Linked DNA regions of Danio rerio. The protein of the gene in region 1 interacts with the protein of each later gene in a biochemical or structural test. Links are inferred from orthologs where the notes say so. Each region holds a gene or a part of one and is shown in the gene's direction. Other genes may lie near its edges.

Region 1 (5,968 bases):
TTTTTTATTTAATGTGTCTGACGATTTTAGTTAATTTATATATTAAAATATGTTTAAATAAAGTTTCTGGTTACTTTGCTTAAAATAAATTATAAAAATAACTTATAATAATATATATAACAATATACAATATCTATATCATTTTTATCATCATTATTATTTTTATTATTAGGGTGACACTGTGGCTCAGTGGTTAGCACTGTTGCCTTACAGAAAGAAGGTCACTGGTTCGAGTCCTGACTGGGCCAGTTGGCATTTCTGTGTGAAGTTTGCATGTTCTCCCTGTGTTGGCGTGAGTTTCCTTCGGCTGCTCCGGTTTAAGTGAATTGAATAATAAATTGGCCCTGGTTTATGTGTGTGCTTGTGAGAGTGTATGGCTGTTTCCCAGTACTGGGTTGCAACTAGAAGGGCATCCGCTGTGTAAAACATGTGCTAGATGAATTTGCGCTTCATTCCACTGTTGCGACCACAGATTAATAAAAGGGAATAAGCCAAAAATAAAATGAATGAATGAATGTAGTAGTACGGATAACAATGTAACAAATAAATACATGTCTAAATATAATTGATACATGATAAAATTAATCAAAGCAAATAAGTAATAAATCATAAAATAAATCAATTAAATACGTAATAAATAAAAGTCATTATGTTAATAGAAAAAATTATAAATCTAAATTTCTTTGTAAAACAATAATTACTTATAAGAAAAAATAAATATGAAGGGAAAATATGTATTAGTATTAGTAGTATTTAGAAATCATAAAAATATTATTATTATTATTATTAAATAAATTGTCATTTTATTATTATTAATATTATTATTATTAGTGACATCAAGAAACTGCATATTATATAGACTACAGGAAAAGACAATAGTTCTTACAATATCAACACTAGATGAACAGTATTAAGAGCAAAACCAAAAATTAAGTAGATAAAAATAATAATAATAATGCAATAAAAAGATAAAAAATCAAGCATGAAAGATTTCATCATGTTTACGCAAAAAAGAAGTACATTTCTTATTATCAATCAATCTAATTGAATTTATTAAATGTTCTATTTCACATAAGAAGTCTGTAAGAGTTTGTGTTTTTTTAACGAAACCTCTGTTTGTGAAAGTAAAATTTCCTAGCAAGTATAGAATGAAAATTTATAGTGGCTTTCAACGACTTGTTTTGATTTTCGAAATTAACAAATACCATCCTTGAGGTGCAAATTACAACTCATTTTAACATCGGAAAAGTAATATGAACTTAAGCTACTGTACAATACCAATACAATGATGATACATTGTATGAAATAACAAGTGACAAATGTCTTCACACTCATTTTTACAAATGGTGCAATTATCAGTAAACTAAAAAAATAATAATATTCAAAGGATTTCTGTATTGACGACCGCCGCCATTCTCTCTCTCTCTCTCTCTCTCTCTCTCTCTCTCTCTCTCTCTCTCTTTTGGCGGGTGAGTAAACCTTGAGGGATTTTTATTATTATTGCACAAACCATGAGGAACATACATACAAAACAATATAAAAGGTGTTCATAAAAAAAACGAATATAACAATGTTACAAAATAAACGAATGTAAATAAAAATAAATATATTGTTTTCGATACAAAAAACAGTTCGATACAAAAAATCGATACAAAAAAAACAATTAATGTGAGAGATGACTTAGCATTTTTTTGTTTGTGTATGCGATATGTTATCAATAAATAATAAAGAGATTATTAACAATGTTTACAAGACTTTTGTTGAGTTTGTTTTACCGCCACCAGTCGGTCCTGATTGGTTCATGTGACAATGACGTAGAATGACTGCTGGCGCCGAAAATAGACGTGTGGTTTCAAAACACTCGCGCCACTCACTGGCGTCACGAAAGCGAGACTTGTATTCAGAATTAGATAACTGACCTACAATAAACCCGTGAACGCAGCGATATTCATCGCCCATGCAGTATTTACAGTTGGCCTCATTTACAGTCAGATATTACTGAAAAGGACTCTTTGCTCGAGAGGTGGGTGTGGCCTGCAGCTCATCATTTTAACTTAATCCACGATAACAGCTTTGCTTGGCATTCTAGCTGAATGGAGACGTTTTACTGTGAATTATATGTAAAGTTAAGTAACTGGTATCTTGATTCTGCTTTATGGTACATTGGCTTTGCTCTTTAATTGTTTGTTGTCTGTTGCTTTTGTTGTTAGGACGTGGTTCAGTGAAGTTTGGTGTTTATGTTGTGATTTGCAGACATGCAGTCATCAAGCAGCTCAACAGCCTCCAGCAGCACCCCGCCAAGATACGGTGATAAAAACACAAATATCTACATATGAGAATATTAATTTATCATATCAGTGGTCCCAACTATATGCTAAATTACATTAATTAACGTTACACTGAAAAACTTTTCCCATTATGTTTGAACAGAAGTTTAATATACGTTTTCTTGTTTGTCATCCACCATTAGCTTTCATAGATTTTATGGACGTGGGCAGCACAATGACCTTATCACAAGAACTTGCCAATTTAACAGAAGATGCAGGACAGGAGCTGGAGGCAGAGGGGAATGTTCTGTTTGGTTCAATTCAAGGCTTAATTGTTGGTTTGCGATACTACACTGGAGCGGTATGAATTGTTGCATTTTACAATAAATCAAAGCATATTTGGTTGCGGTTAAGTTGGTTTTATATTTGTACATTTGTTCATTTTTAAGCAGTGAAAACTTAACGCTTTGAATATTCGGTCTGAAATATCATGCAAGAATGACTTCAAAACAGCACCATTTAACTGACTGTCAACAGTGGACTTTAATAGTCATTGGCTGCTAATATAATTTCCCTGTTAAGAATTTGCAAAGAATAGTTTTCTGAAATTATATTACTGAGAAGAAAGTTCGAATGTACAAATATAAAACCAACTTTACCTCAATGCAGATTTGTGTGTCCAGATATCTGTACAAAAAAACAAAAACACTGATATATTTAATAATCCCACTACCATGAAATTATACAGTATTTGATAATAGGCTTTTAATAGGATTATCACTTTACATGTTTACATGTAATCATTTTATTACAAGTTATTTACAAGTTATTATATTATTGTTATTATTATGTTAACACCATTTTGTCTGGTTCTGTCTATAAAGCAAATATTCCACTTTTTAAATGTATTTATTTGTTCTTGGACAATTCCTGCTTGCAAGAATTTTGGGTAGTTGTTACAATAGAACTGCACAATATGTCGCTTCAGCAACGATATCGCAATGTGCACATCCGCAATAGTCACATCGCAATATATACAATTTTGAGTCTGAATTATAGTTGACCAAGAGCTACAGAATTGTATTTAATTACTGTATTTATAAGTAATTTATGCAAAAAAGAAAAAAAATTTCTCACTTAGAATTTTTGTCTTGTTTCTTGTTTTCCAAATTATCCACATTTTAAAGCAAGAAAATAAGATTGTTTTATTCACCTCAATGGTTTCAATGGCAGATAATTGTCTTGTTTTGAGGAAGAACTCATTATTTCTTCTGAAGTTGAAAACAAAACAATATTATTTACTTAATTTAAATATTTTTAGATATTTGGACTAGAAATGAGACAAAGCAAATTAAGAAAAGCATTTTTTTTGCATTTTGATTGTTTAATTTCTGTACCTGAATAATGCTAGACTCCCCAGAAAATATTCATATCGCAATATTTATTGCAAAAAAAAAGAAAATTGCAATATCAGATTTTTCTAATATTGTGCAGCCCTACTTTACAATAAGATTCCATGAGTTAGCAATAATTATAATTAATATAATTATTTTTGATAGTGTATCAGTCTATTTTAACATTAACCACACAATCTGCAAGTGGAAACAGAAAAAAAAAACATATATTAAAATGATAGTTCACCCAAAAATAAACATTTCCTCACCCTTTTCTTTTACTTAGGTGGTTTTAAGAATTTGTACATTTCTTCTGATGAACACAAATTAAGATTTAAGAACGTTGAAAAAAAGGCAGCCACTTACATCCATAATAGAATCAAAGCATTCTATGAAAGTTAATAAGTGTTCAGTGTATCTTTTCTATTAAACAGAAGAAACTCAAACAAGCTATGGAACAAGTGAAGTTGAGTAAATGATGACAGAATTAATTTCTGGGTGAACTTTCCTGTTAATCTGAGAACATTTTGTAACCTTTTCATAACATGATTTTTTTCTTAAAATTTGACTATTAATTCATCTATAAAAGGGTTGGCATCGAGCTAAGTACATCTTGTGTCAGGTTCCCCTTGCATAAAGTTACAACGATTGATAAAACAAAATCAGAATTATATGTTGCAGCACAACATGGCTTTATTTACATATCAAATTTATTCTCCCGACATCTGAACCTGCTCAATATCTCTTACCCCTTCATCAACTGAGAGAAACAAGTGATCTATGTAGTACCCCATCTCACCATGCAGTATAGAGTGCCCTCTAGGGGTAAAATAAAAACATAGAATCTAATATGACTGATTATGTTTCAAAAAAAAAATATTTGATTGTGACACATGCCGTAGGTCAATAAAGGAGAGATGGTATCCTTGGTGAGAGAGCCGCACAATCCCTATGACCGAAATGCAGTGATGGTTGCCAATGTGTATGGCAGTCAGGTGGGGCACATCAAGAAAGAGCTGGCAGCTGCAATGGCCTACATTATGGACAACAAACTGGCCAGGGTGGAGGGGTACTGTGCTGTTTTTTTATTTTATTTTTTACACACGTTTAAAGCAATTTCTCAAGTTTATTTAAAATGTTTTTTAATAAATGAATTAAATAAATGGACTTTTTGTAATTCAATTGCAACAGCTTCTTTTATATTTGATCTTTTAATAGGATTGTGCCCTACGGAGAGAAAAATAAGTTCTCTATGCCAGTGATTCTCACCTTTTGGGGTAAAGAGGAGAACAGGGAGGTTGTGAATAATCTGATGATAGGCTTTGGTTTCAATCTGGACTTCAGAGGTTCATTCAGTAGTTTATTTGTTGGTTATTGCTCTTTGTTGAACACTTTATGTTTGTGCTATTGACCTTTTTTTTGTTCTTGCAGGAGGTTCTTCACAAACATCTCTGGGAAGAGATCTTCTTGGATTATCCACAAAACTATCTGCCATTCCTTTGTCTGCTGAAGAGGTACATTTTTTGTGACACATTTCTTTTAGTCATAAAAAGCTAATACATTTTTTTATGTTTTAGAATGGTAAAATATAGATAAGTGGTTCTCAGCTTTCTTTCTTTCTTTCTTTCTTTCTTTCTTTCTTTCTTTCTTTCTTTCAAATACTGACATAGTACCAGCAAAAATGTTTAAATAATCAAACATTAAAGGCACAGTATGTATAATGCATATTTACTACATACAAAGGTGTAGTTTGATGACCCTGTGACTGAGTGTGAAATCATGGGATCATGAGATTTGTCGTCTTTATTACATCTTAATGGACTCCTGCAGAAAACATTTTCATGTATGAGCTAAAAATTTTAAAAAGTATTATCATTGTAGTATGAAGCAGATTAAAGTTCATTGTACACTGAGTCTGAAATTTTAAATGACCTCACGCTGTGGTAAGGAAATTTACACGCTGCCTCCATAAATTGTGTTAATAATCCTCGGTAGGCCCACACGGAATCTGTGCGCAGAAGTCTGCAGATTTTTAGCCCATCAGTGTATTTATTTGCTTGTGTAAATTTAAATTTATTCAGATTTTAAATTAATTTCAGTAATATTATTGACTAATATAAAAATGTTCATATAATTTATTTACAATACAGTTTGTGAAGTAATATTTTTTGTCTTAGTATTATATGAGAGACTTGCTTTTGTTTACCAAATAAGTGGATTTAATTGAATTTGCATTGTTAACATTAAAGTTAAAAAGGTATTATTTTGATTTCAAATATTAAGTTTTTAGTTGTAATACTCTCAAAA
Region 2 (5,506 bases), on another chromosome or scaffold:
TCGTTCGGTCGAAACCGAAATATTGCCAAACTGCAGGTGCGCTCGCCACCACACCTCACCTCTCTCTTTCTCTCTCTCCCTCTCCCCCCCCCCCCCCCCCCCCCCCCCACACACACACACACACACACTGTCCCGTGATGACAATCACGCATACACATTTTTTGAGCGCTTAGAAGAAACCCACATGAACACGGAGAGAACATGCAAACGCCACACAGAAATGCCAACTCGAACTAATTACCTTATTGCTGTGAGGCGACAATGCTAACCACTAAACCACCATGCCACCAGCCCCAAATATAGACTAATGTCATGCACATATTTCAAGTAATTCTTTTTTGTAGAGTTAATTTAGCTGCTGTCATCAAATGACTTGCATGAGGGAAATGTAATGCCACGAGATGCATTGTTTAGTTAAAATGGAGTAATTGCATGAGATGTTAAATCATTTAATTAAAAATTTTACTAGACATAAAGATTAATGAATGATGCCATTAATGTGGTTTTGAACTTAATCATTTATACAGTTATTTGTCTCATCATACCAAAGTGTCAAAACAGCAGTTGTTATTAAGTTTTCTCATTAAATAAACAAAATGTTACAAAAATGTACTTTCTTATTAAAAGCACAACTGAATCAACATAGACGAGTATTTTGTTTTGTATATTGAATATTTGGTCCCACTTTATATTAAGTGTCCTTAACTACTACATACTTGCATCAAAAAATAAATACAATGTACTTACTGTGTTTATAATGTATTTGAGAACACTTGTGGTGCTTTTGAGTTGGGATAGAGGTTGGGTTATGGACAGGTTTGGTGGTGTGGATAGGTTTAAGGGTCGGTTAAGGTGTAAGGCATGGTCAATAGTGTATTTACTGATGTAATTACAAAAGTTAATTACAGATGTAATTACATGTATTTAATCAAGCATAAGTACACAATAAATGCATGTATTTACACAATAAGTACATTGTAACAAACTATTAATTCTTGTGTAAGTACATATTAGTTAAGGCCACTTAATATAAAGTGGGACCGAATATTTAAATGATGTTCCATGTATTTAAAACGAGAACATATTTGTTTGGAACGTGTAGAAATATATGGTAATACCTTAATATAATCTGCACTCACCGTCCACTTTATTAGGTACACTTGTCCAACTGCTCGTTAATGCAAATTTCTAATCAGCCAATCACATGCCAGCAACTCAATGCATTTAGGCATGTAGACATGATCAAGATGATCGGCTGCAGTTCAACCCTAGCATCAGAATGGGGAAGAAAGGTGTTTTAAGTGACTTTGAACGTGGCATGGTTGTTTTTCCAGGCAGGCTGGTCTGAGTATCTCAGAAACTGCTGATCTACTGGGATTTTCATGCAAAAGCATCTCTTGGGTTTATTTGGATGGTAGGTCAGCTGTCTCCTTACCTATCCGGGACAGTGTTTTTAAAATGAAGCCATTTCTGAAAAGGACCAGCATTAAGTTTTGTGGAAGTCATGTGACAGAACATTTCTGTAGTAAATGTAGTGTTCTGTAAGACAAGAGCTCTGTTCTTTGACCTGAAAGCAAAGCACTGTGTTTTCCACAGAATGCAATCCACCAGATAACACCTACTCTTCCACGTTGACAGTGTTATGTTGGGAGGATTTCTTTTTCAGATGGTAAAACTGAAAAGTTTGTTGGCATCAAGGCCAGCATGGATTAAACCAAATGCATGCAAATCCTTGTGGAGAACCTGTTTCACTCTGCCAGAGATATGAGTTACTTTCCAGCACAATTGCTTCACAAACTACACAGCATAACTATAAATTAGTCATTTGTATTCTAGACACAGACTCGAACGCAATTGAAAATTTGTGCTATGACCTAAAGTCACCCTCGATCTAAATTGCTAGTGGTGCAACAGTTGTATTAAAGAGTGGGCAAAAATGCATGGTATGAAACGAGTTGAGTTCTCACAATATGTTTTAATTGGATTCCCTGAAAACAGCTGATACAACACTTTTGCGTATACTTCAGTTCTGTTCAGTAATAATGTTCCAAGTTGCTGCTTTTCTTCGATGACCTGCAGTTTGGCTAATGGACTGTATTAATTGAAGAACATTGATAGTTAATATTTTGCAGAATAAATGTAATTATCTAACATTTATAGCCTTCATAACCTCTTAATCTTATGGGTAGCATTATAATGAACAGCCTCGATTGTCTTAATTTAATGTGCAATAGATATTGAAAATGCCTCAATTATCTGCCTTGTTCAAAGATTGAATAAATTCAGATCCTTCAGTTTGAATAAAATATAATATTTTTTTTTTCATGACAAAGATTTACTTTTCAGCAACACTTTACTTTAAGGGGTGTTCGTAAGACACCTTTATAATTATGACATAACATGTCATGAATGTGAATGAGATTATATGCATCCTTATGACAATTATTGTTTTTTTTTAGTGTTCAAGTGTTATTTTCTCAGTTAGGTCATGACATTGTTTTATTACAACTTGATAAACAAATGCATCACAACCTGTTTTTGTATTTATCATGTCAACTTGACATTACCAAGACAACGTGAATTGTCATAAATCTGTTGTAAACATTAACACACGTGTACATGTTAAGTTACTAGCATCTTGCATAATAAGTTGAAAAATAGTATGTACTGTTGTAGGGCTGAACAACATATTGTTTAAGCATCGATATCGCAATGTGCGTGTTTGTAATAGTCACATTGCATGATTAGATTATTTATTAAAGATTAAAAGATAAATATAGTATTAAATATTTGTATTTAATTATTTATGAAACGTTTACCATGTTAATTTACATATGATTGTTCAATTTCAGTACTTGAATACTGTTACACCCCCCAGTTTTATTTATTTATTTTTTTATTTTTTTATTTTTGCTCTATATGTTTGTAATATATTCAGGGTGTCTGCAGGGTCTTAAAGTCCTCAAATGTCTTAAATCTCAAAAACTAAATTTTAGGCCTTAAAAAGTCTTAACTTTACTGAAATATTGTGCTGTAGGTCTTGCAATTTTTTTTTAAACAGGTTTTATTTTGTGCATGTATAGCTACCCAATCAGGCCAACACCCAACCCATAACACACCATCTCAATAAAACTTTAACTTTTTAAGAGTGTAATTTTTTACTTCCATAATGGTTGAATTATTTTCCTTACAATAACACTTGTTTAAATTTTTCATGTATTTCCTGCTGAGAAAGTTGACCTGGACGGACTGTTGTGCATGCATTTAGTTTATTATAGTTTTTAAAATCTTTCGAACTTTTTTAATTTTTTTATTTTAAAGTAAGATAATTTTGAAAAAAAAATTTATGTATACAACTAGAGGTTTCTTGTTTTGACACCATGAAATATTTTGCTTTCATTTTTAATTTATTATTAAACATTAATTTTGTACTAATAAATTATAAAAAAGTGTGATAGGGCAAATTTTACATTTTTATTCTTATTAGTCTTAAAAATGAGGCGAAGCTGTGGGTAGAGCTGTAACCTCAAAGCGAGACGGTCGCTGGTTCGAGCCTCAGCTGGGTCAATTGGCATTTCTGTGTGTAGTTTGTATGTTCTACCCATATTTGTGTGGGTTTCCACCAGGTGCTCTGGTTTCCCCCACAAGTCCAAAGTCATGTGATACAGGTGAATTGCGGCCAAATTGGCCGTAGTGTATGAGTGAGAATGTGTGTGTATGGATGTTTCCTAGTGATAGGTTGCGGCTGGAATGGCATCCGCTGCGTAAAACATATGCTGAATAAGTTGGCAGTTCATTCTGCTGTGGCAGCCCCAGATTATTAAAGTGACTAAGCCAAAAAGAAAATGAATAAATGAATGAATGGTCTTAAAGATGTTTTAAAGTCTTAAATTAAACTTGCTAAAACCTGCAGAATCCTTTTTATTATAATTTATACTGATGCACTGCATAGAAAAAGACTTGATCATCCCAGTTGGTAAAAAGCTAAATAAAATCTTCCCAAAGAGAGCTTTTAAAATCATCTGAAATATCACAATATCTGATTTTTCCAATATACTGCAGCTTTATCGTCATGGCAAAGACCAAAGAAATTAAAACAGTTATGTTTAAAAACATGCTGAAAAAAACATGCTTCCCTCCTTTAAACAGCACTTGGGAAATACTTTAAGCACTTGGGCCAAGAATTTTGACTTTAACTTCAATATATAAAGGTATTTCTTTTCTTTTTTTGGGGAGGGTTGAACTATTCTTTATTTTTGCTCTTGAAGTGACCCTGGAATTCTGTGTGTTGTTGTGTATCAGCAGTGGAAGACGAAAGGCAATGCCCAAGCTGTTGTACACTTTGATAACTGTGCCAAAGCTCAAGAAGATGCTTAAAGAATGCCATCTTTCTGCTCAAGGCAACAGAGAGCAACTCACGAGACGCCATCAAGAATTCACGCACATCTATAATGCCCAGTGTGATGCACTCAACCCTAAATCAGGTATAAATCAATCCATGAAGGAACAAACAATTTAATGAATAATGGTATATACTGTAGGTAATAAAGTGCATGCTTATGATTTAATCAAGTAAATGTTCTGACATGACCATTAATGACTGTAAAATGTTTGTTGTCAATACTATATTGCTTAAAGTGTTAACTGGGAATTTACACTCAGTCCAGCTAGTGTAGGTGGTGTATTGTAATTTACGTGCTGGAGTCACACTGGGGGAAAAGAAAAATACAGTAGTTTTATTCTTCACGTTTCTTTTGAGTTACTGCTCTCCTTCTCACTGACCCTTTCAGAACGGAATTTCTCTCTTTTCATTGAGCTGTCAAAGGGTTCACAGGAAACCATCTATTTTTCTTTCTATCACCCGATGTTGCTATGGTTTCTGTTTGAAGACTGAACTTATGTTTGGATTGTATTTTTCCCCACTGTTTTGTCATGTACCATTGAGTGAATTAGTAAATTGCACTGCATTGGATGTAATCAGTTGATGTAAAAGCTGATTGTCGTGATTTTCAGAATTATTTTGGAGTTCACATTCTGTGTTCACTGGCGGTAATGATTTGTGCAACACATTTAGTTTGTGACCTAGAATAGATACTGTATATGTGGAATCCTTCACCTGTTGGTTATTAAGTTTGCTTCAAAAATGTTGGTTGTATTTATCTTTATTTTAAATGTTTTTTTGTTTAACAGCTGAAGAAATCGCCAAAGAAGTTGAAGCCAATGAGCGACTAAAGAATCAGCTGGACAGTAAACGGAAACCTGTATGTACTACTATGGATTGTCGTTTCTAAATGATAAATACTGTATTAGGGCTGTCAATCAGTTAACCATTTTAATAGAATTGCTTGCACAAACATTTCATCTGATTACACACATTTAGGTTATAATTGTATTATGTATACAATATTTTTGTTATTGAATCTAAATGGCTTTTTAGATATTATAGGCTGTGCTATTTGGATACATTTACAGCATTTATTGCATGTCCCAAATATTTTTAATGACT

The links.
Region 2: the proteins of hltf (region 1) and rad18 form a complex in vitro, tested with the Homo sapiens proteins (2 studies listed by BioGRID). The link is inferred for Danio rerio from reciprocal best matches to the Homo sapiens genes HLTF and RAD18.

Annotation. Positions count from the first base shown.
Region 1 is NC_133177.1:28,291,574-28,297,541, reverse strand, and holds the start of hltf (helicase-like transcription factor), read left to right. Parts: upstream 1-1,868; 5' UTR 1,869-2,023; intron 2,024-2,210; exon of another isoform or gene 2,211-2,253; 5' UTR 2,254-2,255; coding exon 2,256-2,307; intron 2,308-2,470; coding exon 2,471-2,628; intron 2,629-4,563; coding exon 4,564-4,730; intron 4,731-4,879; coding exon 4,880-5,007; intron 5,008-5,092; coding exon 5,093-5,175; intron 5,176-5,968. UniProt on the Homo sapiens protein: Has both helicase and E3 ubiquitin ligase activities. Possesses intrinsic ATP-dependent nucleosome-remodeling activity; This activity may be required for transcriptional activation or repression of specific target promoters.
Region 2 is NC_133181.1:44,378,787-44,384,292, forward strand, and holds part of rad18 (E3 ubiquitin-protein ligase RAD18), read left to right. Parts: intron 1-4,302; coding exon 4,303-4,484; intron 4,485-5,190; coding exon 5,191-5,261; intron 5,262-5,506. UniProt on the Homo sapiens protein: E3 ubiquitin-protein ligase involved in postreplication repair of UV-damaged DNA. Postreplication repair functions in gap-filling of a daughter strand on replication of damaged DNA.